Canis lupus familiaris: one gene and its partners. The protein of the gene in region 2 interacts with the protein of the main gene of each other region in a pairwise test. Links are inferred from orthologs where the notes say so. Each region holds a gene or a part of one and is shown on either strand. Other genes may lie near its edges.

Region 1 (3,967 bases), on a different chromosome or scaffold from region 2:
AGATTAGTTCTGATTCTTATACTTTATGCCATGATGAACTAGACACATGTTAAACAATAAACCTGTAATGCAATCGTGAAAAGCTTTACAAAAGGAAAGCAGCAGTAACTCGAGAAAAATCCAAGCATCTACAGAAAGTAAAAATCATACTCATTTTAAGTTCATGAAAATGATTTAGTACCATCAAAATTATCAAAAAATCAAGAAACTGTGCTTCCAATTAAAGAGCTGAAATTAATCAAATGATTCATAAAATTATACTTGCAAGTCATGAAGATTATTACTTACAAAACAGAACAGAATCAAACACGCAAGCGATAACCAAAATAAGAGTCAAATGGCATCAAAAAAACATCTGGTAATGTCCAGAACATGTGATGTCAAATCTCAGTGATTTGAAGAAATAAATGCATTTGAAGATGATGTACACAATTCATAAACCAATGAGTTAACGAACTCCCAATGACTTACACAGGTAAGTAACCAAAACCTAATTCATTTTGTAAAGTTTTTAAAAATGCCAAATACATATAGCCGAAGGCTTAGAAATTGGGTCAAAGAGTTAAAGTCACAATAAATAAAAAGGTTAGGTTCTTATACTATCTTATTTCTAACATTGCAGAACAATGCATTCTTAAAACAAATTGTGTTAAGTTACACGTCATCAAATACCCAGGCCAAAACAAAGGTAGAAGAAATGAACAACCATGAGAAAGTATTTTTACTTTTGCATTATCTATACAGAACACTACATCTGCTTCTCCTCCTAGCTTCCACCAAAAGTAAACCAAAACGTTATACGTACACACAAGCTGGCTCTGTTTACGATTTGAATCCCAATGGTTCTTGGCAGCTCTTCAATGCTGTTTTGGCTCACCGCATTTAGTGACCGTTTCTTCTTAAGATGCCGTGCATGCTTTTTTAGTCCTTCTTACAATTCCATTTTGCATATACTTGTAATTAAAATAAACCTTACTGAGCTAAAATTTGTAGAGAAATAAACTCGTATTCTCATAATAATAGCTAACACATAAGTACTGCTTTTTTTTTTTTTCTATACTAAGTATTCTACATATACTCATTCTTTTAACTCTAAAAATATCTCTAGGCGCTCTAATTTACTGGAAAGGAGACTGGAGAAAGGCACTTGGTCTCACGAACTGTTAACTGTCAAAGCTAGGATTAAATTTAGGCAGCTTGATGTTCTTCAAACATAAATCCTCTTCCATGAATTCTACGCTCAATTTCCATCTTTCTTCACATTTTCCTTCCGCAGACACCAATTAAGTTTTTTCTCACCACTTACTATATCCACTAACCATGGAGTCTACAACTTAAAATAGTCGATCTTCCCTAACAGTTCTGTTCCCCTTTTATTTCATGTTGACTAACAGAACTTTAAAAAAAATTGACTTAGTGATAAACTGTTTTGGAAATGTGCAACCACGTACGCCTTTTTAAAAGAAATCCTGGAATCTCCCTATGTCAAATAGGGAGATATCCAACGAGAGAGGGCGTTCTCATTACAGCTGCTTCAAAGACTCTGTTCCCAACCACCGATCTCACGTGGCAATCATTCTACTTTTCTTCCTTTCCATATAAAACTACTATTTAAAATTTACAAACAAAATCCAGGGCCGCCTGAGTGGCTCGGTGGTGGAGCGCCTGCCTTCGGCTCAGGGTGAGAGCCCGGTCCCGGGATCGAGGTCCGCATGGGGCTCCCCGCAGGGAGCCTGCTTCTCCCTCTGCCTGGGTCTCTAACTCTCTGTGTCTCTCATGAATAAGCAAAATCCTTTTTAAAAAAGAAAAGATCCATTCCCTCAGACGAGATCAATTTTTCAGGTTGTGGTTTCATATCCTAAGCATCCCCTGCACACATTCTTCCTTTCCTTCTCACTCCTCTGAAGGAACAGCCGTCCGCACGGGAGGGCCTGCGCCACCTGGGCCGCACCATCTGGGCCGCACCACCTGGGCGGCACCTGCTGGTCCGCGCGCGCGCTGCGTGTTTTCCGGCGAGTGCGCGAGAACCTTCCAGAAGGCGTCCGTCCACGCGGGCGCGCCGGCCATGTTGGTCTTCCTCTCCCGTGGAGAGCTGCTCCGTCGCAGGAGTCGTGCGGGGCCGGGGCGGGCCGAGGCTGCACGTTTCCAGGAGGGGCGCGCTCGAGCGCTCGGAGGGCTCCAGGGCCGTGAGCGCCCCGCCGGCCGGCGCTCGCCCCCAAGGCGCGCCCACTGCGGGGCCAGGGCGCCCGGAGGAGAAGGCCGCCTGGGCACCCTGCTAAGAGGCGGGCCGGGGCAGGCGTGTTGAGGGGGAGTCGCAACCAGTACTTACCACTGCGAGGCGTTGCCCGAGCTTTCCTCTGCGGGTTTCAGGAAGACCCTCTGGAGGTGATTGGACATTTTAGAGGGGCGGGAGGGGCCGGCACCTCCAGGGAAGTGGGCAACGAGGGGCCGAGGGCCTCCCGAGGGGCGAGACCCGGAGCGACCCGGTGTTGGGCTGGACGGCGCCCAACGGGTTCGCTGCGAAAGGAGGACCCCAGCCTTCGGAAGGAGGCGACGCGGCTGCCAGAAACCGGAAGGACCGCAGCGGCTGACGACGCGGCCCGGCCCCGGCCTCTGGGAGGAGCGGCCCGAGTCTCCGCCCCCCGCGAGCCGACGGCGTCGCGCCAGAGCCAATCGGAGTCGACGCGGGAGGCGGGGCCTTAATGGCACCGCCCCCAGCAGCGCTGGGTCCGTGGGGAAGACCGCGCCGGACGGGCTCGGCCGACCCCGCCCACCGCAGCCGCCAGCCGGGCCCAGCTCAGTCAGCGGCTTCCGGCATCGTCACATCCGGTCGCCGAGGTGACTGGCTCGCTAAAGCACCGCCCCGATGCTACGATCCAATCGCAGAGGACGTTTGGTGTCTCTTCTTCCGGATCAACGAACGAATCACGAGAGGATATGCTCAAGATGCCTACGCAAAATAAAACGCTTCCGGGGTCATTGGTAAATTTTCTGCCAATGCGCTCGCCGCTCCTGCACGTTTCTCTTTCCCGCCAGCGCCGGAGGAGACGTCGGCGGCGGCTCTGGACTAGTGCCTGACGCTGTGCGCGCCTCTTAGACGCCTGCCCGTGGGCAGCGCTCTGTTTATTGCCGCTTCCTGCGCTTTCTCGTTCATTTCCTCTTTCTTGAAGTTTTGCCTCTCTTCTTAACCTGACCTTTCCCTCCACCGCGCGTTCATCTCATGCCTCGGTCAAAGTCATCGTCAGAGTTAATCGGCTGGTTCTCTGAAAGTTCGCCCTCCATAGACATCTTTTTTCCTCTTCACTTGGCTCTCCGGAGAAATTCTTTTCAGAAGTCTCCCGGCTCCCGGTGTTGAATCCTGCATCCGAGAGACCGGCCAAGCCCCTGGTGGAAGGGCGGGCGGTGCCGTTCAGCCGGGGCTGCAGGGAGGCGGCGGCAGGAGCGGCCGACGAGGGCGTCTTATGAGGGACAGGCGGTGGAAGTGTGAACTGGCGCATACTGACTGTCCGGCCTCGGGGGCCGAGTCCCCTGGCCCCTCATCCCCTAGCTCCGTGGTAAGCGCAGTGAAACGACAGTGTTCCGACAGGTTAAGAGAAAGCACGACTTCCTGAGCGCGGTGCTCTGTGGTAGTTTCGGTGGCACAGAATCCTGCGTGTGTAGCTGGCGTCTGTCTTTCAGTCGAGTATGTCCCGCACTAAAAGGGGGCGAGGTGCTCAGCCCTTCATAGGGGCTGGGTTTCCGTCATTCTCTGATCTGAATAAGTTGCCCATTCTTGGCTTCTTCCCTGCTTCATCATTTATTTCTTACCTTCCACACTCAATTCTCCTCCTACCCATCATCTCTTCCTATGTACGAAAACTCATTGTCACAGGTTGGTTTCCCTGGGAAACGGACTTTGTCCGGTGTATTTTGGCGTGAGGGAAGTTTATCAGGGATCAGTATAGGGGAGGGGAGGGAAAGGAAGTGA
Region 2 (4,227 bases):
GATGCCAAGACCCTGGGATCACGATCTGAGCCAAAAGCAGACGTTTAACCAACTGAGCCATCCAGGTACCCCTGGGGGCTGGTACTTTCCAAAGGCTCAGCAGCCTGTAGCTGTATTTAGAAAAAATAAAATACAACCACTGCTCAGTTATTATCTTGCTATAAGTCTACTCCAAGATCTGGCAAGAGCAGGAGATGGTATTTCCTGCATTTTAAATTCCCCTTTCCCACCCCAAGCCAGAGAAAACCAGAGGGTGGGCAAGGGCAGCATCTCTGGAGCCCTGTCACTCCCGCCAAGGGCTGAGTCACAGCCATGGCCCGTCTCAGCTTCTGTGGCCCAAGTGAGAGGGCATGTGTGCGGCTCCGGCCAAGTTCAGACATGCCCCTGATCTGACTTATCACTGCGTAATGCGGCCTCCTCTGCTCGCACTGCCCTCCCTGGATGTGCCCCTGGCCAGTGCAGCAGAAGCAGACACATGTTTTAGGGAAGAAGTAACTGCAAGACCTAAATGACCTGCATAGGGCAGCACGGCAGAAAGCACCAGTCACTCACATCCTGATGCTTTAACTCCAATTCCTAGACACTATCCACCCACCACCCGCCCGGCTTCAGAAACCCCACATTCCCACCCCAAAGCCACACACGGGGCAGTCCTGAGGCTGCAAGCCCTCCCTGTGGCACAGCGTGGCTCTGCCGCTGGCGGCTCGGGCGGACAAGTCCAAAAGAGGTAACATCTCAGGCTCAGAAATCTGCAGCCAAGGAACAGGCAAGAGTAAAACTAAACTCAACCTCTCATTCCCGACCTCAGGTTGCAGACTGAAACGTGTGCAGGGCACAGGCAGATAAACACAAAACTGGGAAGCATGAAGGCCACAAGACAACAGAGTCAACCAAGATAAAACAACTGAAAAGCTAAATGAAAAGCAACATGCACGCTAAACAAAACCAGTTTGCAACAGCACAGATGTAAGCTCGGCACTATTGACCATCGGGGCAGGGTCAGTATTTGTTGTGGGGGCCGTCCTGTGCACTGGGAATTCAGGAGCATCCCTGGCCTCTCCCCACTGGATGCCCATAGCATGCCCTCCCCTACTCCAGCTGTGAAGACTACAGATGTCTCCAGACATTGCCAAATGGACTCTGAGGGAGCGAGAGGGGGAACAAAATCTCCCTTTGTGAAGAACACCGGGCCAGAACTCTGTGAGAGGCCAAGTCCTAAGATCCCTTGCCAAGCGACCTTGAGAGTTTGCTGAGTTGCACGTTTCCATGCCGCCCACCGGCATGGCTAACCAGTCCTGCTGAAGAGCGCTCTGACAGTATGGCCTATGCCCTTGCGCATTTTCACCAGGTTTCCGGAAGAAGTGCTGGGACAGGACAGGAGAGAACAGGGACTGACCGGTCATGCGTGGAGAAGCTGTTGCTGTACCGCGTGTCTTTGGCATACTTGATCACCAAGCACTTGTACTGGGCAATCTGGAAGCGACGGACCCTTCTCATCAGCTCGGTACTGCAAGAGCAGAGCACTAGGTGAGACCCAGGATGTTAAGGAAGTCCCCATTAGCACAAGTGGGGCTCCCCCCCCACCCCTGCTGGGGGTCTACAGCCTGAGACCCACCAATGGACAGAAAAACCAGAGAGGACAGAGGGTGGTGATGGCAAGGAACAGAGGTCAGGTGGTCTGGGGAGGGGGTGGGAGAATAAATGTCTCAGGGATCTGATGGGGTGAGTAGAGTCAAAGGCCTCCGACAGAGAAGAGGGGTCTGGATTGCATCCCCAAAGAGTCCCATCCCAGAGGTCTTCACATGGTCTGCATTGACTTCGCAGTCTTTTGTTGTTGTTGTTCAAGAAAAAAAAGCAGTTACCTCTGGGTCCCAGAGCCCACCCTGGCCTGACTGTGGTGGGCACCAGGTTTGCCCTGCAGTGACCCCCCCCAGGGCAGAGGGCGTCACTCAGGGGGCCGACTAGCCCTGCCTGGGTCAGGCCACCGTCCTGTCACATCAGGGGAGCAAAGGCATCCTGGCCTGACTCCTTAGTGTGTAAACTACTTAAGGAAACAAACACTAGGAAGGGAAGGAGGAGTGTGGATGCTGCAGGGTGCACAGGACCCAGCTCACCGAGGACACCATTTTAGAAGAATTAAAATTTTAAATTGAAAAAAAAAAAACCAAAACGAAACGAAAAGACTTGGCTGCTCCTTTCCAAGAGAGATTTAGTGGGAGGGTGGGGGGAGGGAGGACTACACCCTCAGCAGCCATAACCTGCTGCAGGGGGGCGACGTGGTGCCATGACCCCATGGAAGGGTCTGAACCCCGCGGGCAGGGAAGAGGCGCCCTCCTGCAGGACCGCATGGGGCGGGAACGCGTGCTCGGTCCGGGGGAGGGGTCGTCCTGCAGGGGGGCACTGAGAGGGGCAGCAGGGGAGGAGGACGGGCCCCCGGAAGGGAGGGGGGAGAAGGCCGTCCCCGCGAGGACATTACTTATTTACCTTTTTCCTGAGAACATGGGTCCTAGAATCACCTAGGAGAGAAGGAGAGGTCACTTCGGGGCCCGCTGCGCACGGACTGCAGGCCAGGGCCACAACCCCAACCCCAACCCCAACCCGCACCCGGGTCGCGACCCCGGCCCGCCACCCGCGCCCGCCGGGGTGCCACCCCCGCGCCGGCACCTGGATCTGCCCCCGGGTCTTGCTGGGGGAGCCGGGCAGCACGGTGGGCAGGTTGATGCAGCTCATGGCGCCTGCACGAAGCCCGCCGCTCGGGAGCCCTCGGGTGCCACCGCCCAGCAGCCTGACCCGGGTGCCCCCGCCGCCGGCCTTTATCCCGGGCGCGCTGGCCAATCGGGAGCCGGCGCGGGCGCCCCGCAGCCAATCAGCGCGCGGCCGCGGACTGGCGGGAGATTCGAGCGCGGCCCGCCCCTCGTGGGCGGCCCCGGGGACCCGGCGGGCTCGCGTCACCTGGACGGTCGGCCCCGCCCCGGCCGCCGCCTCTAAAGGGCCTCTAAAGGGCCGGGGCGCGCCCTCTGGCCGGCCGCGGCGGGATGGAGGGCCCGGCGCCCTGGAAGCGGCTGTCCAAGGAGGTAGGCGGGTTGCGCCGAGCGGGGCGCGCGGGGCCTAGAGGCCGTTCCCCTCGGGGAGGCGAGCTTAGAGACCCAGAGCCCAGCCCCCCAGGGCGCCGGCGGCCCCTGTGCGCCGCTCCCAAAGCCCTAGCGCCGGCATCTCCTTTGCTTCTGGCCACAGGCAGGCTTCGGGGCGCCTGGTCTTCAGGGTAGAGAAAACAGGCTGTGCTAATATCCATAAAGGAGGCACAGTCCCGACACTGAGGTCCCACAACGTGGATGGAGGATGTGCCGGGGTGAAGGATTCGGAAAGGCCGGCGTTCACCGCAGGACAGGCAAAGCACTTACTAGGGTTATCACTCAACTATGATTTCCTAACTAGTTTCCCTGCATTTCAGGCTGTATTTTGGGTTGGTTTGGGTTGGTTTATTTGTTTTCCGGTCACGGATACATGTGAGAATCTGATAAGTTATGCATTCTGCCCCCGCCCCCCCCCAAGAAAACCCCGTTCTCTCTGTGTCAGAAACCCATTGCATTATTGTTATTGTACATAACGACAGGGAAGATGACGGTAGCAGTGACAGCGTGTGCCGCTATGTGCCGCAGGCACAGATTGTACAGGATCTAAAGAACGCTGGTCAGGCACCTCGTTCAACGGGAGGGGGCCATAACCCACATTTGAATGGTTAGTTTTACTTCATTTACATGCTTTATGTCCTTCAACCTTGTGATGCTACTATTATGCCCATTATGTAGATGGGGCTGAGGCCCAGAGAGCATAAGTAAGCTGCCCAGGGTAAAACAGCCTGTAAGGGATAGAACATGGATGGCATTCAACCCATCTGACACCAGAGCCCAGGACCCTTCCATGAAGCCACCCCGTCTTAAAATTTCCCATTTTAGGCTTCACTCTTTCTCCTTGCCTTTGAGCTCTTTCTCCCAAACCTGGTTCCTTGCTACTCTCTGCATTAATTCTGTGTCTTAGCCTGACATCTGAGATCCTCTCCCCGTAGTCCCTCCTTCCACCTCACCTCTGTGTCTCGGTGGTCTGACTCACCAGCATTTCCAAACTGACCTTTGATTCCTCTCTCCTGACCTTTGTTTCTTTGCCGTGACTCCTGCAATCAGAATCCCGCCCTCTCATGGGCGCCTGAGGCCTGACCCTTGATTTCAA
Region 3 (4,275 bases), on a different chromosome or scaffold from region 2:
GTGGCAGAGAGTTCCCAATCAGGCTGTCCTGCCGAGCAAGGCTGGAACCAAGGGCCTCCTTTCAAGATCCGAGTTGAGAAAGCCGTGTGGTGCCCAACAGAGAGGACAGAGCCACTGCAAGGGGTGCTGAGGGGCTGCTCCTCTTTTATTATCAACAGGAGGTTTCTCTAAAGGGAGTGTGATGCCCCTCCCCTGTGGGACCACTGTCCAACCTGTGCATCGTCCCTTCAAGTACCCTCTCAGAAGAAGAGCCCCCGCATCCGCCTGCCGATGCCTTGTCGGTCATAGAGGACGTTGAACTTGTTCACAAACTGGTTCATGGTGTTGCAGGTTTTGGTAATGGTGCCAAGGTAGGCCATGAGCCCCACGTCATTGCATTGCTGGAAGGAACAGAAAACCAGTTGCCCAGGGAATGTCTGAGTCCCGGGTCCTGCGTGCAGACATGATGTACAAACCCCACGTCCCCAGCCTGGGTTTTAGACTCACATCGTAAAAGTCTGTCTTGAACTTGTCTGTACTGAGCACAGGGAGGCAGTGACACAGAGCATAGGCCTCCCGCAGGATCTCATGGTTAAAGGGAACCTCTCCTAAAGGCACAGAAGGACTGCATTAATGTGGATGAGGTCACCCTCAGGAGTGAGAAAAAGTGGTAGGCGTGCCAGGGAGACGCCTGTCCTACCCGCTTCAGAGGCCTTGACATATTCCAAGATGAGCTTGACCCGGCTGTGCAGCATCTTAATGGCACTGTGTTGTGCTATCAGGTGTTCGGCCACTGGGGGGAGACAGGGAGAGGCCAAGGTTGAAAACGCACCTGGCCACGCTTTCCACCCCCCACTGCTGAGGAAACACCTCCAGTCTTCCTTACCTGTGGAGTTCTCGCCGCTGCCTGTGGCTGTCATTCGGGCCACGTGGTCGACGCCAATGCGTTCAGCTTCCTCTGTGGCCAGAGTGTAGGTCAGTTCCGCAAACAGCATCGTGGCCTACAGGGCACAAAAGCAGAGTCAGGAGCAGGAAAGGCCAAGGAGCAGGACCGCGGGGTTGAAAGGCAGGGCATTACCTCTCCATTGATTATATCGATGACAGACTCAAAAACACTGACGGGAAGCTGTAAAGCAACGGGAGACAGCTCTTACATCAAGTGCACCTGGGCTACCGTACTGGCTCTTCTGCAGATTTTCCCAATCTTCCCAAGGGCCCACTGAAGTAAGGCTAACCCCCACCTTATACATAGGGCAAAAAGCAGTTCTGAGATTAAATGATTAACCTAAAGTCACACAGCTGCTGAGCGGAGAATTCACCTCAAGTGAAGATTCAGCCCAACAGAGATGTAAAGCACAGCAGGGGAGGAGGGTAAGATTGTCATGCTTGTCCAGCACCGTGCCTAAGTGGGCATGGGGTCAGTATTACTCACATCTGTGTGCTTGGTCATAGGATTCAACTTAAGAAAGAGAGGGCTCTCGATGATCTCGCACACCTGGAAGGGAATGGGGATGTGGGTGTCAATGCCCATCTTTCCTCCCCTGCTCAAGCCCTGCCCCAGCATGCACCAGCATGCATGTGTACCTGCTTGTGGACGTGGATGTCAGAGGGGTCAGGCGGCCCCCCGGTGGTATACCAACCCAAAAACTCCAGCTCCTTGAACACCTGTTTGACTGCAGGGGAAAGAGCACAGGGTATCATTCTTTAAATCACCCTCCCTTCATTGGAAACTCCTGGTATATTTTTCATCAGCTTCTCCCCTCCCCGCTCAACTCCTGGCTCAGTTCTCAATAATTAGTCCCTTCTATCTTCTCTCATCTATTACTGTCTGGGGGGTGGGTACCTAAACTGTTCCTTTTCTGAGATCCTTTGTGATACTCTCCTCACACAAACACAGTTCTTGTCCCATTCTCCTATTTTTCCCCATCACTCTCCATCTTCCCCACTCTGCCTTTGTTTCTCACTCCCACTCCTCACCCCCGAGTCTATCCCCCTCTCACACTGCTCCTCCTTGGTGTAGTAATACTCCTTGTCAATGATAATCTTCTCCTCCACGGTGTGGGACAGCAGCTCAAAGGAGTTCATCACCTCGATATTTCTGCCCTCCTGCTTCCCGATCAGCGCCCCAATCACTGGGGGAGAGAGCGACACGGAAAACAGGAGGGTTAAGAATCCGGTCCCTGGGTCGAGGTCAGTGGGAACGCAATGCTGGAGACACGGTGACCTGGGGAGGGGGGACTGGCCTCAGGAAGGGCGGGGGCAAAGACCCCTACTTGGGGCAGGTGACCAAGGAGAGGAGGTTGGAGATTGACGCCCAGCACGCACCCTGCATAGGCCGCCCCTCCTGGGAGCGCATGCGAATCCAATGGTCTGAAATGTTGAGAATGACGAGGGGATGAAGAGCGACGGAGACGCTCCCCGTCACGCCGGAGGCCATCACGCTGGGGACTACTGAGGGTGGAGGAAAAGGAGGACGAGTGAGCGTCGGGGCCGCACGTTCTGCCCCGGAGCTGCGAGCGGGAGACGGCAGAGCCGGAGCCATACATCCCTCCCGCAAGTTAGTCCAGGGGGCGGGATCGCCGTCCCGACTGCTGACTCCTCCCGGGAGTCCAGGGGGGCCTTGTCGCTCCCCGGGGGGCGTCACCAGAGGCCGCCTCCGCGAGGCCCGTTACCTGCCGCATCCACCTCCATCCCGCTGCTCCCTCCAGTCCCGTTCGCCGCCGCCGCCATTTTCCCCGCGCCCGCCAGCCTCGGCCCCGCCCCCTCCCCGTCGGCTTCCGTAGGCCAGCGGCGCATGCTCAGTGGGCGCGGGGCCTCGGCGGGTGGGGCGGGCGGCCCCGGAGCGGGTGGACTTCGGAAGACCGGGTCCGCCACGCGCTTGCGGCGGTGACAGATCTGGGACAAATTACTTCACCCTGCGCGCTCCCAGCCTTACCGTCCTCGTCAGTAAAACTGGGATAAAACGGCCCAGTTCCTAAGACTGTTGCAGAATTAATGAAGAACCACGTTATTGCCCTCAGAACAAGATCCGCGCCCGGGCCATGGCGTGCAAGGCCCCGCAGGGTCAGGACCCTGCCTGCCACCCGGCCCTCGGTCCTCGTGCTTCAGCCGCGCCGGCTCCCCTGGCAGTTCCCTTCGTATGCCCCACGCCCACGTGCGGGCCTCTGCCGCGTCCAACCCGACAGCCAAGGACCTAAATAGGTATTTCACTGAGTGGATAATCTGAGGTGAAACCTGGTCGCGAATGGTTCACCGGCGTGTCCTTTCCTCCTTGCAAATACCGTATTACCTACATACTAGGAACGTGCCCAGCACTCCAGCCCTTCCCGGCCTCCCTCTATCCTCCATCTCCAGCAGCCTTTCAAAACTCGCTTGGGACAAACCCAGCCCACTCCGACCCCTCCCCACTCCTACGCCCAAGCACGTCGCTGTGCACTGCGTTTACTCCCCCTTGCTCCCCTACCCATTTGTCTAGCTGGTTCTTTCAGTGTATGCCTGTGCCACATCCAAAGTGAAAGCTCTCAGAAAGCAGGTGAAGACCTGTGCCTTGAGCCTGCAGAGCCCACTCCAGTGCCCGCAACCAGCAGGTACCAGGAAATGTGTTCCAGTTTCCTTCAGTTCCAGTGTTTTAGCAGCATCTTCAAATCTTTTTCTTTGTCCCTCTGTTTCTGTAGTCACATCGCCTTGTGCGATAAAACCCCTCCTTGCTTCTTTCTTATAAAGACACCTGGCATTATATACAGTGCCCACTGGGATAACCCAGGATAATCTCCCCATCTGAAGATCCTTAATCATAAATCCACGATAATCTCCCCATCCGAAGATTCATACTTCAATCAGATCTGCAAAATCTCTTTTTCCCTGTAAAGTAACATTCACAGGTTCCAAGGATTGGGACCTGGCTGTATTTGGGGGCCACTGTTCAGCCCGCCATAGCACACGCAGCCCACTGTGGGGGAGCTGGAGAGCAGCACCCTCAATCAAATGGTCATTGTCTTTATGATCCAGAATTATGTCAGTCCATGAAGAGAATCCTGGTGGCCGAAATAAAATTAAGTTGGAGTTTGCTAGGCTCCCTTTTGCCTGCAACCAGGATGGCCTGGGGTGGGTATGGGGTGGGGAGAGGGAGGACAGGGAGAAGTGTCATTCCAAGGAATGGTCAGGGCAAAATCTTTAATTTTCAGAACAAGTCTAGAAAGCCCTCCTTCCATCCTGATCAGTACCCTCTGGTCAAGACCAACCAGGAGGAGACAAACACATTCAGGGGACAGCCACATTTAGCAACCAGGATGCCTT
Region 4 (4,098 bases), on a different chromosome or scaffold from region 2:
TCAAAACACTGAGAGGGCTGTATTTGGCAGGTACGCACGATGGTCTTGGCACTGACGAGTTGAGCTTCTCATGGATGATGTTCTGCACCATGGTGTGCACTGGCGAGCCATATCGATGTCCAACTGCCCTTGGACAGTCCCCTTTACAGTATCGAGGGTTGTATCTGTGCGGGGCCACGATCCAGTTGTCCCACTTCAGCTGACTAAAGCTCAGCCTGAAGTCGTGGAGCTCACACTCGTGTTGGGGGAAAAGAAAGTGTTTCAAGTATTCACTCAGATTGAAAGAAGCGGGAGCCAGAGGCTTGTGCAGTTCCAAGCTGACGGTGTCCTGACCTCTCCGGTGACGGGAAGATCTTCCACCTTCAGTCGATTCCTCTCCTATGGGACAGGCAGACAGACCTCCCTTCTGGTCAGCCCTCTGTGAAGATCTCCTTTTATAGTGAAGGGAATCCCACCTGTGATGAGCCTGAGCACTTGTGTCATTCAGATATAAAAGCAGGGATGGGGGTACCAGCAGCGTCCTATTCCACGGCCCATCCTGTGCCACAGGATCCTGCTGCTGGTTTCTCACACAGGTAAAATTTACAGACATGTGAAGACTTCTCTTGTGCAAGGCCACTAGAGGCCGGAGAGCAGTGGTCACATCAACCTCAAACCATTTGTATTTCTTTTTCAATTCAAACTGTGAGTTAAAGGTCAATAAGGATGGAGCTCTCTGGGGGGTCCAGCTAGAAAACTCTGGCTCTTTGATCACCAGGTGGCACAGACATTTAACGGCAGAGGGGAAAGAAATGGAATTGCTGAAAGAGTACAGCAAACCCGACTTCAGTAAGTGTTCAACGGGAGGAACACGATCCAGGTTAAAGAGCAGGTCCACAGGTGGAACAGAGCCTGAGAAGAAAAACAACCTGCCAGTAGTGCTTGCATACAAACACAACATAACAAGCAGTCAAGGCATTTGTCCTTGTCATGTGCTTTCTCCCTTCTCTTTCCCCACTTCCCCCAGTCTTAAAGAGGAAGGGGGGGGGGGGGAGGTGAGTCAGAGAAAATACCTGCTACAGGTACCACGCTAACTGCCAGAGTGCCCAACCTAGCTATTTTATCAACAGAAAGTCTGAATGGCTTTGGTGGTGAACAACCATAGAAAATCATTGTTTCCCAATCTCAATCATTGGCTCCAAACCTAGAAGCAGCTAATAAATACTATTTTTCTCCTGGAGAATCTCTAGAGAGAAAACTCAAACACATTTATTGGTCTTGTTAAGACGACTTTTTAAGCCCTAATGAACAGAATCAACGAAAAACTTAATGGTCTAATTGGGAACACTTGAGAATGATAACAAATGGAGGCTCTAAAGCCACTGTAATAAGACTTTGAAAAAGGAGAAAGGGTTTTTTTTTTTTTTTTAAGATTTTGTTTATTCATGAGACAGAAGGAGAGAGAGAGAGAGAGAGAGAGAGAGAGAGAGAGAGAGAGAGAGACAGGCAGAGGGAGAAGCAGGCTCCATGAAGGAAGCCTGATGTGGGACTCCATCCCGGGTCTCCAGGATCATACCCTGGGCTGAAGGTGGCGCTAAACCACCAAGCCACCGGAGCTGCCCAGGAGAAAGGGTTTAAAACAGCCACAGCTGACCTGTTGGGTTAGAACTGTTTGTGTCAGGGGCACCTGGGTGGCTCAGTGGTTGGGCATCTGCTTTTGGCTCAGGTCAGGATGCCGGGGTCCTGGGATGGAGTCCTGCATCAGGCTCCTCTTCAGAGAGAAGCCTGCTTCTCTCTGCCGGTCTCTCATGCATAAGTGAATAAAATCTTAAAAAAAAAAAAAAAACAGTTTTGGTCATGAGCTAGTAAGAATGTAGAGGGATTTTTGTTTTGTTTTGTTTTTTAAAGCACTGCTCCTTTCTCACATAGGACTCCAAAGTGCTGGGTCAGGTTGATGACCAACACCTGGTTCTTCAGAGGACCTACTGTTCCAAATGCAGACTTCAGTTTTCCTCATATAAAGCAGTAAAATCCTATTTAACACAATAGATACTTCGGTAGCTAGGAGATGTTTTAGACACAGTTCCAGGTCAACACTGATAGAATGGTAAGAATAAGCCAAGAGAGGTCAAAATACCTGGTTTCCAGTCTGAATTTTGTGACCTGGATAAGAAGCCAACCTCCAGCCACACTCTGTTCAGCTTTTAGAGCTGTTAAGTCTCTTCTAGCTCTAAAGTTCTACCATAGGAGCCCCCCTTATTCCAGGAGAGCATTAGGAAGAAACAGTAAGATCAAGTACCAGATTTGTTGCAATGTGGATACTGAGGATCATGCAAAGTAATATGTAATTCGAGGAGCAAGGCCCAGCTCCTTTCTAATAACTGCAACACAGACAAGTCTATCATCTTCCCACCACCCGTTAACCAGTCTGCTCCTACACACCTGTCGCCTGGTCCCCAGGAGCCTGCGTGTGCTGGGCACAGGACGTGAAGAGTCGAACAGTGTTGTAAAGAGGGCTTCTGTTGGATTTAGGGATCCCCTCCTTGGTAGCACAGGCCTTATAGAGCCTCTTCATGTAGCGCAAAGCTCTAGGCGTGCCACCTTGCCCATCATATAGAACCTTGAAAAGAGGAGAAAGGAAGCCAGATCTGTCTCTTCCATCTGGAGGCCGCAGCAATGACCAAGGCTCAGCCACAGATTCCGACTCAGCTCCAGCCGCCGCCCGAGCTTCTCCTCTCGAAACTTGAGAACCAAGACTAATAGGAAAACACAGCAACGTTAAGCAGAAAAACCAAAGGAAGAAGTTGCTGAGAAGTGCCATGGCCTGGAAGAGCTAGCCAGGGATGCATTTCCCCATATCAGTCTTCTTCCTAAAAGCCCGGAAGTACCTAGGTTGGTCTCTTAAATAAATTTTAGGTGTGGGGGTAGGCTAGGGTCACTTCTGTAATCAACCTCAAGGACGCCTAGCTGAAGACAATTTTTGTCAGCTGTGCATCAAACTGCTGATACCGTCCTATTTATCTAATTTGTCCTCATTAGATACAAATGTATCTGTTATTTCACTTTCCTCTCTCCCTTTTCGAGGCATTTATTTAAAACCTCTTCAGTTATTGTTATGCCAATGGACTAGTTATGCAAACTGAAAGGCCAACGGAATTGAGAAATGATCATAAAACCAACCATTTTTTTGAGATTAGGATTCTTAAAAAGTTCCTTAGGTACTTGCTGGGACTTCCAAAGCAAGTGGGGAAGCTAATTATTCATGATGATATGAAGGTCTGTTGCTATGTAATTTATTGGGTTGTTCCCTCTTCCTCTCCCTTCATCCTCATCACCTCCCCCACTGCCAGGTGGTTAGAATAATTACTTACTGCATATTGCTTTGGAGAGTGAGGAAAAAAGTCACAATTGACATTAAAACTCCAGAGAGCAGAGAACCTTTGGGTTGCCCAATTCTCAGGGAGCTTCCTATGGATTATGTACTTGGAATCCTGCACTATGTTTTAATAAAGGACATCACTTTTAACCTTGACTCATCTTTAAATGTAAGATCTTGATCCTTTACTTTGGTCCACACATTCATCTACATAGACTTGGGTTGAAAGATTTGAAGATGTTTGCAGGGTTTTTTGTTTGTTTTGTTTTTAAACTTAAATTCTAATTTTTAATTTAACTTGCTAGGGTGTTTTTGTTTTAAGGACTCACGTTCTTGCAGCTGAGACAAAGCTAGAGCTGATGTTTTAGGAACAGGAGACTGAGCTGTGCCGTGAAAGGCTGAAACGAGGGCTTATCCGGTGCCACCCGTAAGGAGACCGTGCTGGAAGGACGTCAACCCGCGTTCAGGGCACAAGATTCACGGGCACTCTGTGCGGTACCTACTAGGGTCATGAAACTGAGGCAAGTCTGCGAGTTTTCAGTTCGATTGCGTGCCAAGGCGCCCTGAGCCCCGGCTGGGAGGCAGGGTCCCATAAAACACCTGCCCCCTGTTGAGTGACAGCGTGCTCCGACAGCACACGCGGCGGGCGGGCAAGTCACAGACTCCGCGCGCCGAGCAGAGCGGCCGGGCCCGCAGCAGCCTCCCGCCCAGGGCGCTTCCCGAAATCCCGAGGCGGCCGCCGG
Region 5 (3,500 bases), on a different chromosome or scaffold from region 2:
CCTCTACAGATTTCTAATCAAACATTAACTAAAACTAGACAAAAAAGGAAATAATATTTCATCATATTCAGAAAATACTTCATCATATTCAGAAATTATGGACAGTAAAAAAAGTATTTGTTCTAGTTTTATTTTATCTATTTATTTTACTTTTAAACCATGACTGATATTCTAAATTTAAAAATATTTAAGCTAGCGAACAAAATTCCAACGAAATACAGAAAGTTTTCTTTTAACTGACAAAAAATTAGTACAGAATCATTTAAAATGGAAAATGTCACATTGCTTTAAATTCTGAGAACATATAAAATGTACAAGAAATTTTATATAACATTTAGACAGCTCAAAGATTTTCCCTTCCACATGATTTTTACATGTGTAAGGCACAACTCTTAACTCTGGTCAAGAAACTATGATTTATACATAGAAACATTAGTATGGTTAAGCATGTGTATACTTTGACCTAAAAACTTGATAACTGACCACATAAAATCATTTATTTTATTAGTAATAAATTAAAACTTGTATCACCTGATTCTCTGCTCTTAGATTTGCAAATTCACTTTTCTCTAGGATTACCATGTCTTTCCTGATGGAGTCCAAATGAGACATTAGTTGTTGTACTGTTATTTCCTGGAAAACAAAATAACCTAGTGATCTGGAATGGCATTACCTCACACAGAATTGTTTTCATGTAATGTAAAAGAATCTGTTGTTATGCTACAAAATATAATCTTGCTTAGCTAACTAAACAAAACCAAACCATATGAAACCTGTATATCAAAATAAAGAGGTTCCAATCCAAGGTTGCCACATACGAGGACCCTGAACTCACCTCTTTCATGGACACACCAAATCTACACCTATTTTTTTTTTTTTAAAGATTTTATTTATTTATTCATGATAGTCACAGAGAGAGAGAGAGAGAGAGAGAGAGAGAGAGAGAGGCAGAGACACAGGCAGAGGGAGAAGCAGGCTCCACGCAGGGAGCCCGACATGGGATTCGATCCCAGGTCTCCAGGATCGCGCCCTGGGCCAAAGGCAGGCGCTAAACCGCTGCGCCACCCAGGGATCCCTCTACACCTATTTATAAAGCATTTCCTCCTAAACAACACCGGGCTAACTGAACAGCTTCTGCACAGCAAAACATGTACCACATACAGAAAGGCAAGAGAGAGAGACAGTCACAAAGGGAACCCCCAATCCCGACAGAACTACAGTGGAAAGAGACTGTGCTGAATGACCATGAACAGATTTGTCTGCCCTGGGATACAGAAAAAATGATGAGGTTTCAAAGGGTAACTAGAATATAAAAGATCCAGCCCCAGAACCCTGCCAAACACTGTGGGAGCTGCTGCAATTCTCTGGTTCTCAGGCACTGGTCTGCATCACTGTTTATCTTCCCCCTCCACCTTGAGAGCACAGATGGGAGCAGGGTCTGGGAACCATAGCTGGCCTACCGTCTCAATGAGCACTAGGTCCCTAGCCCAAACCAACACAGTGTCCATGAAAGTGGCTCCAGTGTAACACCAGAATATCCATGGTCAGTTTTCATAACAGCTAACTCACTAACATAGGTGCAAAGCACCCTAGAGTAATCCAGGCCCCCACCACTTCACCTCCAGATAACTTGCCAGGACACCCCCAGCTCAGAGCAGGCCAGGACCTACCAAATCAGCTCACCTACACAAAGGGTCTGGGGAAGCCCTGGCTTGCACTCATTTCACCATCAGCTGTTCTCCCATGGTACCCTCTGTGTGGAAAGTCCCTAACCCACCCTGGCCCATACTCATTTAAGATGAAGCTGTTCTGCCAGGGCACTAGCTCCATGGAGGGCTCCAAGACTGCCCAGAATGAAACCTCTTCAACTTTAGCTGTCTTACCAGGCAAGTACCCTGGGATTGCCCCCAGACAAAACCCACTATAGCACCAGCTGTCTGGCCTGGGTGCAGTCTACATGGAGAGCTATCAGATTATCCCAGCCTGTACCCGCTTTGGTTCTGTATATCACACCAAAGTGGCCCTACCATGAAGTGCCCCAGGACCCAAGCCCACGACATCCGCATAGTCAGAAAGCCAGCTCAAGTCAACAGACACACATTCTCCACAAAGGACGATTAGATACAATATCATTCTACTTTTTAAAAGTAGTTGTTGCACATAATTAACAGAAACAAGGTAAAGCAAGAAGAAGGAACAAAGGAATCTGCTTCAAACAAAGCCAAAACCTCAGAAACCTAATTAGAATGGAAATAAGAAATATGCCTGACAAATAGTTCAAAATTATGGACATAAAGCCCATGAGACTAGACAGTAGAGTGAATAAACTCGATGAGAACTTGAACAAAAATACAAAATTAAAAAGAACCAATCAGATTTGAAGAACACAATAAATGAAATGAAAAATAAACTGAAGGGAATCAAGACATTAGAGGATGGAAAACAAGAGATCAGCAATATGGAAAAGAGGGTAATGGAAAGCACCCAAAGCGAACAGTAAAAAGAAAAAAAAAGAGGGGAGAGGTTAAGGGATCTCTTGGACAATATCAAGTGAAGAAACATTTGCATTATAAGCATCCCACAAGAAGAAGGGGAGGGGGCCAGATGAGTTACCTGCAGAAACTATATAGGCCGGAAGGGAACAGTATGACATTTTCAAAGTGCTTGATGTTGTAAAAACTTAGAACCTAAATATCCTACCCAGCAGGGTTATCATTCAGAATTGATGAGTTTTCCAGACAAACAAAAGTTTAAAAAGTTCATCACTGTTAGAGGTGATTTCTCTTATTTACAAGAAATAATGAAATGATTTTTTTTTTTGAGGAGAAAAGAAGAGGTCCAAATTAGAAGAAAATTATAAAATGAAAAACTTTCATGAATAAAAGCAAACATTAAGGTAGTTCAGCAAACACTTATAAAGTAAGTTTGAAGACTTAAAAGACAGAAGTAGTAGTCAATTATATCTAAAAATCAGCTAAAGGGACTCACAGATTAAAAAGATATAAAATAGGCAGCCCCGGTGGCTCAGCGGTTTAGCGCCGCCTTCAGCCTGGGGCGAGGTCCTGGAGACCCGGGATCAAGTCCCATGTCAGGCTCCCTACATGGAGCCTGCTTTTCCCTCTGCCTCTCTCTCTCTCTCGAATAAATAAAATCTTTTAAAAAAAAGATATAAAATATAACAACATACACAGAAAATGTGCAGGGGGGAAATAAAAATGAATTTCTTTAAGCATGTGTTTGAACTTAAGTGACAATATATGACTGCTAAGTTCTTAGGATGTCATATGGGAACCATATGGCAACCACAAACCTAAAATCTGTAATAGATACACACAAAAAACAAAGCTAAGCAGAATACTAAAGTGATGCATCACAAGGAATGAGAGCAAGAGACCAAGAGAGGCATGGAGAAGAACTATAAGAGTGACAAAATGGCAAAAAGAACATATATGTCAATAATTACTTTAAATGAAATGGTCTAAGTGTTCTAATCAAAAGAT
Region 6 (3,500 bases), on a different chromosome or scaffold from region 2:
GGAGAAAACCAGATGTCCCCTGAATCGCAAAAGTAGCTCCTAAACACTGCCTTGTTTCATCCACAAAAACAGTAAACCAAGAAGCGCCGAGCCCTAACTTAATGAAGCAGCATAGTGATGGTGGCAGGCGGGGCGCAGTGGGGACACTGGGGCTCTGTTTGGTGGGCAGGCGCAGGTGAAGGTCCAGATCCTGGATCACCTGCCTGCCAGTGCACCCACCTGCCCTCCCACCTGCCCGCCCACCCGTGGCATCTACGATTGAGGAGTGCCCGTAGGCCACCACAGCAACGGCGGCAGGGGTCCTGGCCCTGGCTCACCTGCCCACTATGCACCCACCTGCCTACCCACCTGAGTGCCCATCTGTGGCACCTACCATCAGGGAGCGCCCGTAGGCCACCACGGTGGTGGCGGCGGGGGCCCTGGCCCTAGCTCACCTGCCCTCCTGCCCACCTGTGCACCCACCTGCCTGCCCACCTGCATGCCTGTCCGTGGCACCTACCATTGGGGAGCGCCCGTAGGCTACTACGGCGGCGGCAGCGGCGGCAGCGCTCATCTGCGGGGACATGTTATGCAGGCTGGCGTAGGCGGCGCCGGGGCTGGTCAGCTCGCCGTTCATGCCGGCGTGGGGTACCATCCCGAACGGGGCGGGGTATGGGCCAGGCACCGCCAGCGGCGTCCTCAGGCCGGCCGCTGCAAGGAAGCACAAGATGTGCAGGATGTCACTCAGCCAGCGCTGTGGTCCAGCCTGACCGTCAACTCCAGAGTCACCTCTAGTGCCATTCACAAGGGGTGAGGACAAGGATGGCCTGGGTGACATAGGGGGCGGTCATCACCACCCACTCAGCTGAATTCATCTCCAGGGAAGAATGAACCCCAGGGGAAGCACTGTCCATGCACTTTGTCCTTGGCTCTCCAGCACTGGGAAACCAGGCAATTAAAATTAATAAACTGCACTATTGTGCCCGATTCACAGAAGGTAAACCAAGGCACAGGGCACTACCTGTTTATCTGACTTAATCTCAAAATAAGGTTTTGGTAAAATCCAAGATTCCTCCTAGAGTCTAAATTTTCATTCCCTGTTACCTATTCCAAATGAAGACCTGACTCTGGATTCATGACTGAAACCAAAGCATGGGTTTAGAAGGAATCTTCTAGGGCCTATTTTCGTCTGGGGCCAAGGTGTTAAAGAAGATTAAGTTAAAAGTTACTAATTTATTCATGGGCTGGAGACTCCGTGAAACCCCCCCAATTTCTAATGACAGACCACTGATTCCTGAGGGATATACCAGGAAAAAAAAATGGCCAACTAAAAAGTAAGCAAGAAGCACACTTGGGAGGGCAGTTTTGGTTAGTATTAGTGAACTCATTAATGCAAGTGATAGTTTGGTCAGGAGCTTATGTGCAAATAATTATCGGAAACTTTATTGAAGTCCCTGGAATTTGGATTATTTGTGGGGAGGGGGTGGTGGTAGTGGTGGAGCCAAATATAAACAGTCGGAGACCGAACAGGGTGCAGCTGCTGAAACCTAAGGACAAACATCTGTTTCTTATCATGGCTTTTCAGGGATGGGAAGGAGGCGGGCATTGAGTGTGTTTCATATTCATGGGGAAATGGCGTCAGGAGTGCACACACAACGACCCAAGCCAGGAAGGGGAAACGCAAAACAAAGCACAACAAGAGGCAATGTTGCTCTACCCGCTTGGTTAACGAGGGGGTCCATGGCTGGAGGCTTGCCGAGGCCTGGACGGAGTCCTGGAGTGGCACTGGTGCCCGGCGTTGGCATATCGCTCCGAGGCGTCGGTGTGCTGGATTTCAGAACAGGCGTGCTGGCTTTTTCATGCTGGTATCATTAAACAAATTAAATGAGTATTATTTTTAATCCAAGCCATATTACACAATTTATCACAACAGCAGCTGGGACACTTGGGCACCTTCTAGCTACTCCCTCAGCCAATTTTCATAAATCCACACAATGTTGACAGCATTAACTTGTGAGCGAGAAATGTTGACCTTTCCTCTTCCTGCCAGAATTAAAACTCTAGCTAGAGACACAGAACATGATCACACTTCTTCCTCCGCAGATTTTATTTTAAAAAGTATTTTTCCATCAGGCATGTGGACTTTGGATGTGGGCCAAGTCAGAACGATGACCACCCAGAGAAAAATCCCCAGGCACTTCAGAAACAAATGGCTGGGTCACTGAGAATGTCAGAGGGAGGATCCCTCTTCTAATCTTGCCTGTCAGTGGCAGTAGGATTGAGACTATTAGTGAGAGGCAGCAGGGCCATGGATTTGATGAGAAACAAACCAGCATCTCAAAGGCAAAAGCCCGAGGAGTCCTGTCCCTTTGAGAGCTGTGTGAGGTGTTAAGCACCACTGCCCATTTGCCTACATGACAGATGTTGACCTCTAGCGCAGAGGCCATCAGGGGTGTGGCAGTAACAGGGTCATGGGGCATCATCCTCTGCATCTCATCCATTCCTTTAAATCCCAGTCTGAGGAACACTGTGGAGAAGCCAAGAGCATGCATGGGATAGGGAGAGAGACCCTAGCTCCCTCTGGCCTTGGATCTGATGGGCTGTATAAACTTGGCAGGCTCCTCAGACTTTCTTCCCCATAGGTGACAGGGATAATGCCCAGGAAGACTGTATAAGCATCACACGTAGAGCTGTTATGTCTCAGCTTTTGTGGGTTAAGAGATGACATGCTCCACGTTATTTGTTGAATGGTTGAAAGTAGGAACAGACAAGGAGGCTCTGCCCTCCCTGAATCAGTTTCAGGCCTCTTGGGGCGTGACCACTTGAGTACATTCCCATTCTGACCCCCAACCCAATGCCAACATGCCCCAACACAATGGGTCAGTTGAAAATAAGGTACTAAGGGTCCTCTGAACCACAAAGGAAAATAAACTGCTAAACAGGCAGAGGACAGCTCATGGGACCTACCAAGCTCATTTCTTTGGATTTCAAAGAAGTGGAGCTTCCTGAAGAGGCTGTGGACGCCGGGCTGCTGGAAGCATCTTTCTTCAGCAGGCGGTTTTTGTCGATCCCGTTTTCCCTGGGTGAATGGGCAGGGCTTGCTCGTGGAGAAGAAGGGTCCTCAACAAGCATAAGCAAAGCTTGTGTGATTTCACTTATAATGGATGGACCTTGCGCTTCACAGATTCTATTTCCACACTAATTCTCTATATTAAAGGAGGACCCTTTAAGTCCTTTAGATCTGGAGCACTTGGGAGTGTGCACCCTGACTAGCAATGTTGTTATAATTAACGGAATTAACAGGATGGCATTTGCAAACACATCCATGAAGACAGCACAGAGGGAGAAAACATCCAAGAACAATTCTACCCTTCCTCATGTTCAGATACTTTTCTCAGGAATGAAAAAGGTACCAAGCCTTTTTCCCAGGGCACAGGAATGAAAGGGGCACTAAGCACCCAACTTACGAATCCTAAATGACTGGGAAAACAGATTTTTTTAACAAAAGTTCGTGTCAGATC
Region 7 (3,500 bases), on a different chromosome or scaffold from region 2:
AGTAAGCAGAATTTGAAAAAGAAATCATTAGTGATATCCATGGAATTACTCTCTCTTTTTTTTTTTAAGATTTTATTTATTTATTTGGGAGAGAAAGAGTGGTGGGGGGAAGCAAAGGGAAGGGAGAAGCAGACTCCTCCGCTGAGCAGGGCGCCCGATGAGGGGCTGGATCCCAGGACCCTGGGATCATGACCTGGGCCGAAGGCAGACGCTTAACCAGCTGAGCCACCCAGGTGCCCAGAATCACTGTTTTTAAAGAGCATTCCTCTGTTTTTTAGCGCAGCAGCTCTGTGTATGTGTATTATTTTAAGTGCATGATTCAGATTGTCATGTTTCAGTGTTTTCACATCGAAATGGCTATATGTGTTTCTGGCTAATAAGTCTGTATGTATAACTATAAGCAGAGGATAAAATCATATCCAATTCTGTCGCTCATTTCAGTGGAGAAAAAAAGGATAACTCCAAATCATGTCATAATATCCATGCATATCTTAGATGTTAATTTAAATGGAATCTCATTATGTCTGCACATCTGTTCCATTATGGTTCTAGTAATATTTTAGCTGAGAAACCGTAGCTGCTAAACTAAGAAAGTAAGAATTGTCTTTTTATTGAACTGCTTATATGAAAAATATTCTAAGGATGGGAACTGAAATCTGTGGGTTTTTTTTTTTATCATCATATTTGTTTACTTATCTTCCTCTATATTTGGTGTTCTGGCTCTTATTAGTGCACGATTGTCTTTCTATTCCCAATCTTATTTACTATCAGGCACTCCATCAGATATTTAATATGCACCCATGAGAAGAAGTTGGGTGTTGTACTAGTAGCTCCTAGTGATGCGTGAGCCCTTACCATATGGAAATTCAGATCGGATGTCTAATGATACAGCTCACTCCTGTATTACAAATTCTTTCTTACATTTATCTGAGGGCTTAGTGTCTTGATTCATTCATTCAACGGTACTATTCTTTGGATACTATTTTGCTAGGTTCTAGTGATACAGAGTTTAGGGAAGAAAGAGAAACTTCCTCATCTTTAAAGAACTTATATTTTATCAGGGAAGACAAGCATTGAACATCTCATTGTATAATCATTTATTTACAAAAATGAGAAATTTTAGAGAAGTACAAAATCCAGAGTGTTTGAGTAACCTGACATAGCTGGGTGACTAGAGAAGACTTCATTGGGGTAGTGATCTTTGAGGCAAAATTTGAAGGATCGGTAGGAGCTATTTGGGTTGGGAGAAACAACTATGCTGGTGTTCGCAGGACAGAGAGGGTTCCCAGGATACATGAGTTTCAGTTCAAAGACCAGAAGAGTCCCAGACAAAGCCAAGACAACTTGATTACTGTGTTTGGGATTGAGAGGCACAAACAAGAAGGAGACCTTGGAGGACAAATGGAAAGTTTGTACAAAGTTCCCCAGGCAATAAATGACCTGATAGATGGATTGAAAGAAGGCCAATGGGGGCACCCTGGGTGGCTCAGGGGTTTAGCACCTCCTTCAGCCCAGGGCCTGATCCTGGAGTCCCGGGATCGAGTCCCACGTCGGGCTCCCTGCATGGAGCCTGCTTCTCCCTCTGCCTGTGTCTCTGTCTCTCTGTGTGTCTCTCATGGATAAAAAAATAAAATCTTAAAAAAAAAAAAAAGGCCAATGTGTTAGAATGCATTATAATAAAGAGAAGAAGGTCGGGAAAGGAAGTGGAGCCATACCCTATAGGAATTTTTCAGCCACTGCAGCAATTTGGATTTTATGTAAGATTATTTGGAAGCCATTAAAGCGGGGAATGACAAGATCATATTTGCATTTCAAAATAATCAGGATACTGCAGTAAGAATGGTTTGGAAGGAGATCAAAGTTTCTTCAAGGAGATCAACTAGGAAGTAATTATCATAATTGGTGATTGGGCATATGCAGTGATGTCAGCGGTGATAAAGAGGAGAAGAATTTGAAAGTTATTTAAGAAATGTGACCCATTATTGGATATGGGGTGTGAGGGAGAAGCTTGTATAAAGGTAATTCTCATGTTTCTTGCTTCTGTGACCTGGACTGGTTCTGTGCTAGGCTCAATCCAGGGTAAAGGGCATGTATATCACGGTGTACATTTGTACGCACCTCCACTTTTTAGTAAAAATTCTAGTCCCAACTTATTTACAGAAACATACCTTTCCCTCTGCAGCCACAGGAAGGTTACCTGATGGTACAGCAGTTTCAGTATCTGGGGTGGGCCTCTCACCGAGAAGTGCCTGGCTCCAAACGGTCATTTTTGAAACTGATACTCCAGGTGGAGAAATGGCAGGAGGAGTGCGAGGAAGGGGAAGGCCGAACCATCATCCACTGCCTGTGAGTATGGTGCCTCAGCCCGCCCAGCGGGGGCTCGGTGCTCAGATCCTCAGTAGCCTTCGTGTTTCCTCTGTGAAGGAGTCCGCTCACATCTTAGGGATCTCCGTGGATACCATCTTAACAGAATCTTCCCGTCTCATGAGTCTCTAATTAACTCCCCATCTTCATTTCCACAATTTTTGAAACACTGATTATGATATGGCTGTTCTATGACCTAAGCTCTTCCGAACACCCCTCGGAACCACTTTTCTGATGTACACAGTTTACAAATGTACCACAATGTCAAGGTAGCTAAGTTGCGGCCTCCAGCGCCTACAGCATATTCCTAAGTATAAGCTATGGAGCGAATGTCACCCCCACGTGTCCTTGCTCTCTGCCCTCTGCACACACATGCATACAAAGCAAAATTAATACAAAATGTGGGGAAAAAAGGGATCCTGCTTTCATTTTCTAAACTTAGAAGATATGTGGCCTCCGGTGAATAAAAGCTGCCATCTCAACAGGACTTTGCTTTCTTTGCTTCCAGAAATGGTGGTGGGCGAAGTGGTATGTTCTGCGCCATAGGCATTGTGGTCGAAATGGTGAAGCGGCAAAATGTGGTGGACGTGTTCCACGCAGTCAAGACACTGAGGAACAGCAAGCCCAACATGGTGGAAGCCCCGGTGAGTCACAGAGCCTTAGACACGGAAGGGAGCAGAGAGATCCTTAGACACAGAAGGGAGCAGAGAGATCAGACAACCATGACCTGCTCATTGGCTTGACTTCATACACCCAAGGGAATAGGACGTGCCAATGAGTCTTTGCGGGGACTTTCCCGCCTAACTGATGGATTGCTGAGTATCTCTCTCTACCCCCGTAAACTTACTCACATAGCACAGGAACTGCTAGCGATGAAAACTATTTTCACGTAATTTGGGAAATGTGGAGGGTTGCTTCTTTCCCCTGTGAGAGGCCATAAATATTTGCTGCAATAAACGTCAGTAAATAGTTCCATAATAAGAATAAATTCCACTATCTCGTCTTGATTCTCGATTATTTTTATTTATTAAAACCTCTGGCTTAACTAGTAAAGCATCGATCCAACGGATATGTTCCTAAGTTGTATCATCAGCACTTTAGACACAGAATGTCCCTAACGGCCAAATGGAATTTAT

Evidence for each region.
Region 1: the proteins of TK1 (region 2) and LRIF1 interact in a two-hybrid assay, tested with the Homo sapiens proteins (2 studies listed by BioGRID and IntAct). The link is inferred for Canis lupus familiaris from reciprocal best matches to the Homo sapiens genes TK1 and LRIF1.
Region 3: the proteins of TK1 (region 2) and COPS6 interact in a two-hybrid assay, tested with the Homo sapiens proteins (2 studies listed by BioGRID and IntAct). The link is inferred for Canis lupus familiaris from reciprocal best matches to the Homo sapiens genes TK1 and COPS6.
Region 4: the proteins of TK1 (region 2) and GDF9 interact in a two-hybrid assay, tested with the Homo sapiens proteins (2 studies listed by BioGRID and IntAct). The link is inferred for Canis lupus familiaris from reciprocal best matches to the Homo sapiens genes TK1 and GDF9.
Region 5: the proteins of TK1 (region 2) and CCDC90B interact in a two-hybrid assay, tested with the Homo sapiens proteins (2 studies listed by BioGRID and IntAct). The link is inferred for Canis lupus familiaris from reciprocal best matches to the Homo sapiens genes TK1 and CCDC90B.
Region 6: the proteins of TK1 (region 2) and TLE1 interact in a two-hybrid assay, tested with the Homo sapiens proteins (2 studies listed by BioGRID and IntAct). The link is inferred for Canis lupus familiaris from reciprocal best matches to the Homo sapiens genes TK1 and TLE1.
Region 7: the proteins of TK1 (region 2) and PTPRK interact in a two-hybrid assay, tested with the Homo sapiens proteins (2 studies listed by BioGRID and IntAct). The link is inferred for Canis lupus familiaris from reciprocal best matches to the Homo sapiens genes TK1 and PTPRK.

Annotation. Positions count from the first base shown.
Region 1 is NC_049227.1:41,480,221-41,484,187, reverse strand, and holds the start of LRIF1 (ligand-dependent nuclear receptor-interacting factor 1), read right to left. Parts: upstream 2,801-3,967; 5' UTR 2,398-2,800; coding exon 2,330-2,397; intron 1-2,329. UniProt on the Homo sapiens protein: Together with SMCHD1, involved in chromosome X inactivation in females by promoting the compaction of heterochromatin.
Region 2 is NC_049230.1:3,864,583-3,868,809, reverse strand, and holds the start of TK1 (thymidine kinase, cytosolic), read right to left. Parts: upstream 2,801-4,227; 5' UTR 2,731-2,800; coding exon 2,665-2,730; intron 2,517-2,664; coding exon 2,485-2,516; intron 1,508-2,484; coding exon 1,397-1,507; intron 1-1,396. UniProt on the Homo sapiens protein: Cell-cycle-regulated enzyme of importance in nucleotide metabolism. Catalyzes the first enzymatic step in the salvage pathway converting thymidine into thymidine monophosphate.
Region 3 is NC_049227.1:9,446,834-9,451,108, forward strand, and holds COPS6 (COP9 signalosome complex subunit 6), read right to left. Parts: upstream 2,801-4,275; 5' UTR 2,776-2,800; coding exon 2,652-2,775; intron 2,431-2,651; coding exon 2,305-2,430; intron 2,112-2,304; coding exon 1,980-2,111; intron 1,653-1,979; coding exon 1,564-1,652; intron 1,475-1,563; coding exon 1,412-1,474; intron 1,106-1,411; coding exon 1,058-1,105; intron 981-1,057; coding exon 866-980; intron 773-865; coding exon 680-772; intron 588-679; coding exon 487-587; intron 381-486; coding exon 240-380; 3' UTR 122-239; downstream 1-121. UniProt on the Homo sapiens protein: Component of the COP9 signalosome complex (CSN), a complex involved in various cellular and developmental processes.
Region 4 is NC_049232.1:21,140,306-21,144,403, forward strand, and holds the start of GDF9 (growth/differentiation factor 9 precursor), read right to left. Parts: upstream 2,801-4,098; coding exon 2,422-2,800; intron 892-2,421; coding exon 1-891. UniProt on the Homo sapiens protein: Required for ovarian folliculogenesis. Promotes primordial follicle development. Stimulates granulosa cell proliferation. Promotes cell transition from G0/G1 to S and G2/M phases, through an increase of CCND1 and CCNE1 expression, and RB1 phosphorylation.
Region 5 is NC_049242.1:16,013,254-16,016,753, reverse strand, and holds part of CCDC90B (coiled-coil domain-containing protein 90B, mitochondrial), read right to left. Parts: intron 634-3,500; coding exon 532-633; intron 1-531.
Region 6 is NC_049222.1:78,233,199-78,236,698, reverse strand, and holds part of TLE1 (transducin-like enhancer protein 1), read right to left. Parts: intron 3,100-3,500; coding exon 2,947-3,099; intron 1,842-2,946; coding exon 1,697-1,841; intron 691-1,696; coding exon 500-690; intron 1-499. UniProt on the Homo sapiens protein: Transcriptional corepressor that binds to a number of transcription factors. Inhibits NF-kappa-B-regulated gene expression. Inhibits the transcriptional activation mediated by FOXA2, and by CTNNB1 and TCF family members in Wnt signaling.
Region 7 is NC_049222.1:67,164,397-67,167,896, reverse strand, and holds part of PTPRK (receptor-type tyrosine-protein phosphatase kappa), read left to right. Parts: intron 1-2,182; coding exon 2,183-2,346; intron 2,347-2,872; coding exon 2,873-3,008; intron 3,009-3,500. UniProt on the Homo sapiens protein: Regulation of processes involving cell contact and adhesion such as growth control, tumor invasion, and metastasis. Negative regulator of EGFR signaling pathway. Forms complexes with beta-catenin and gamma-catenin/plakoglobin.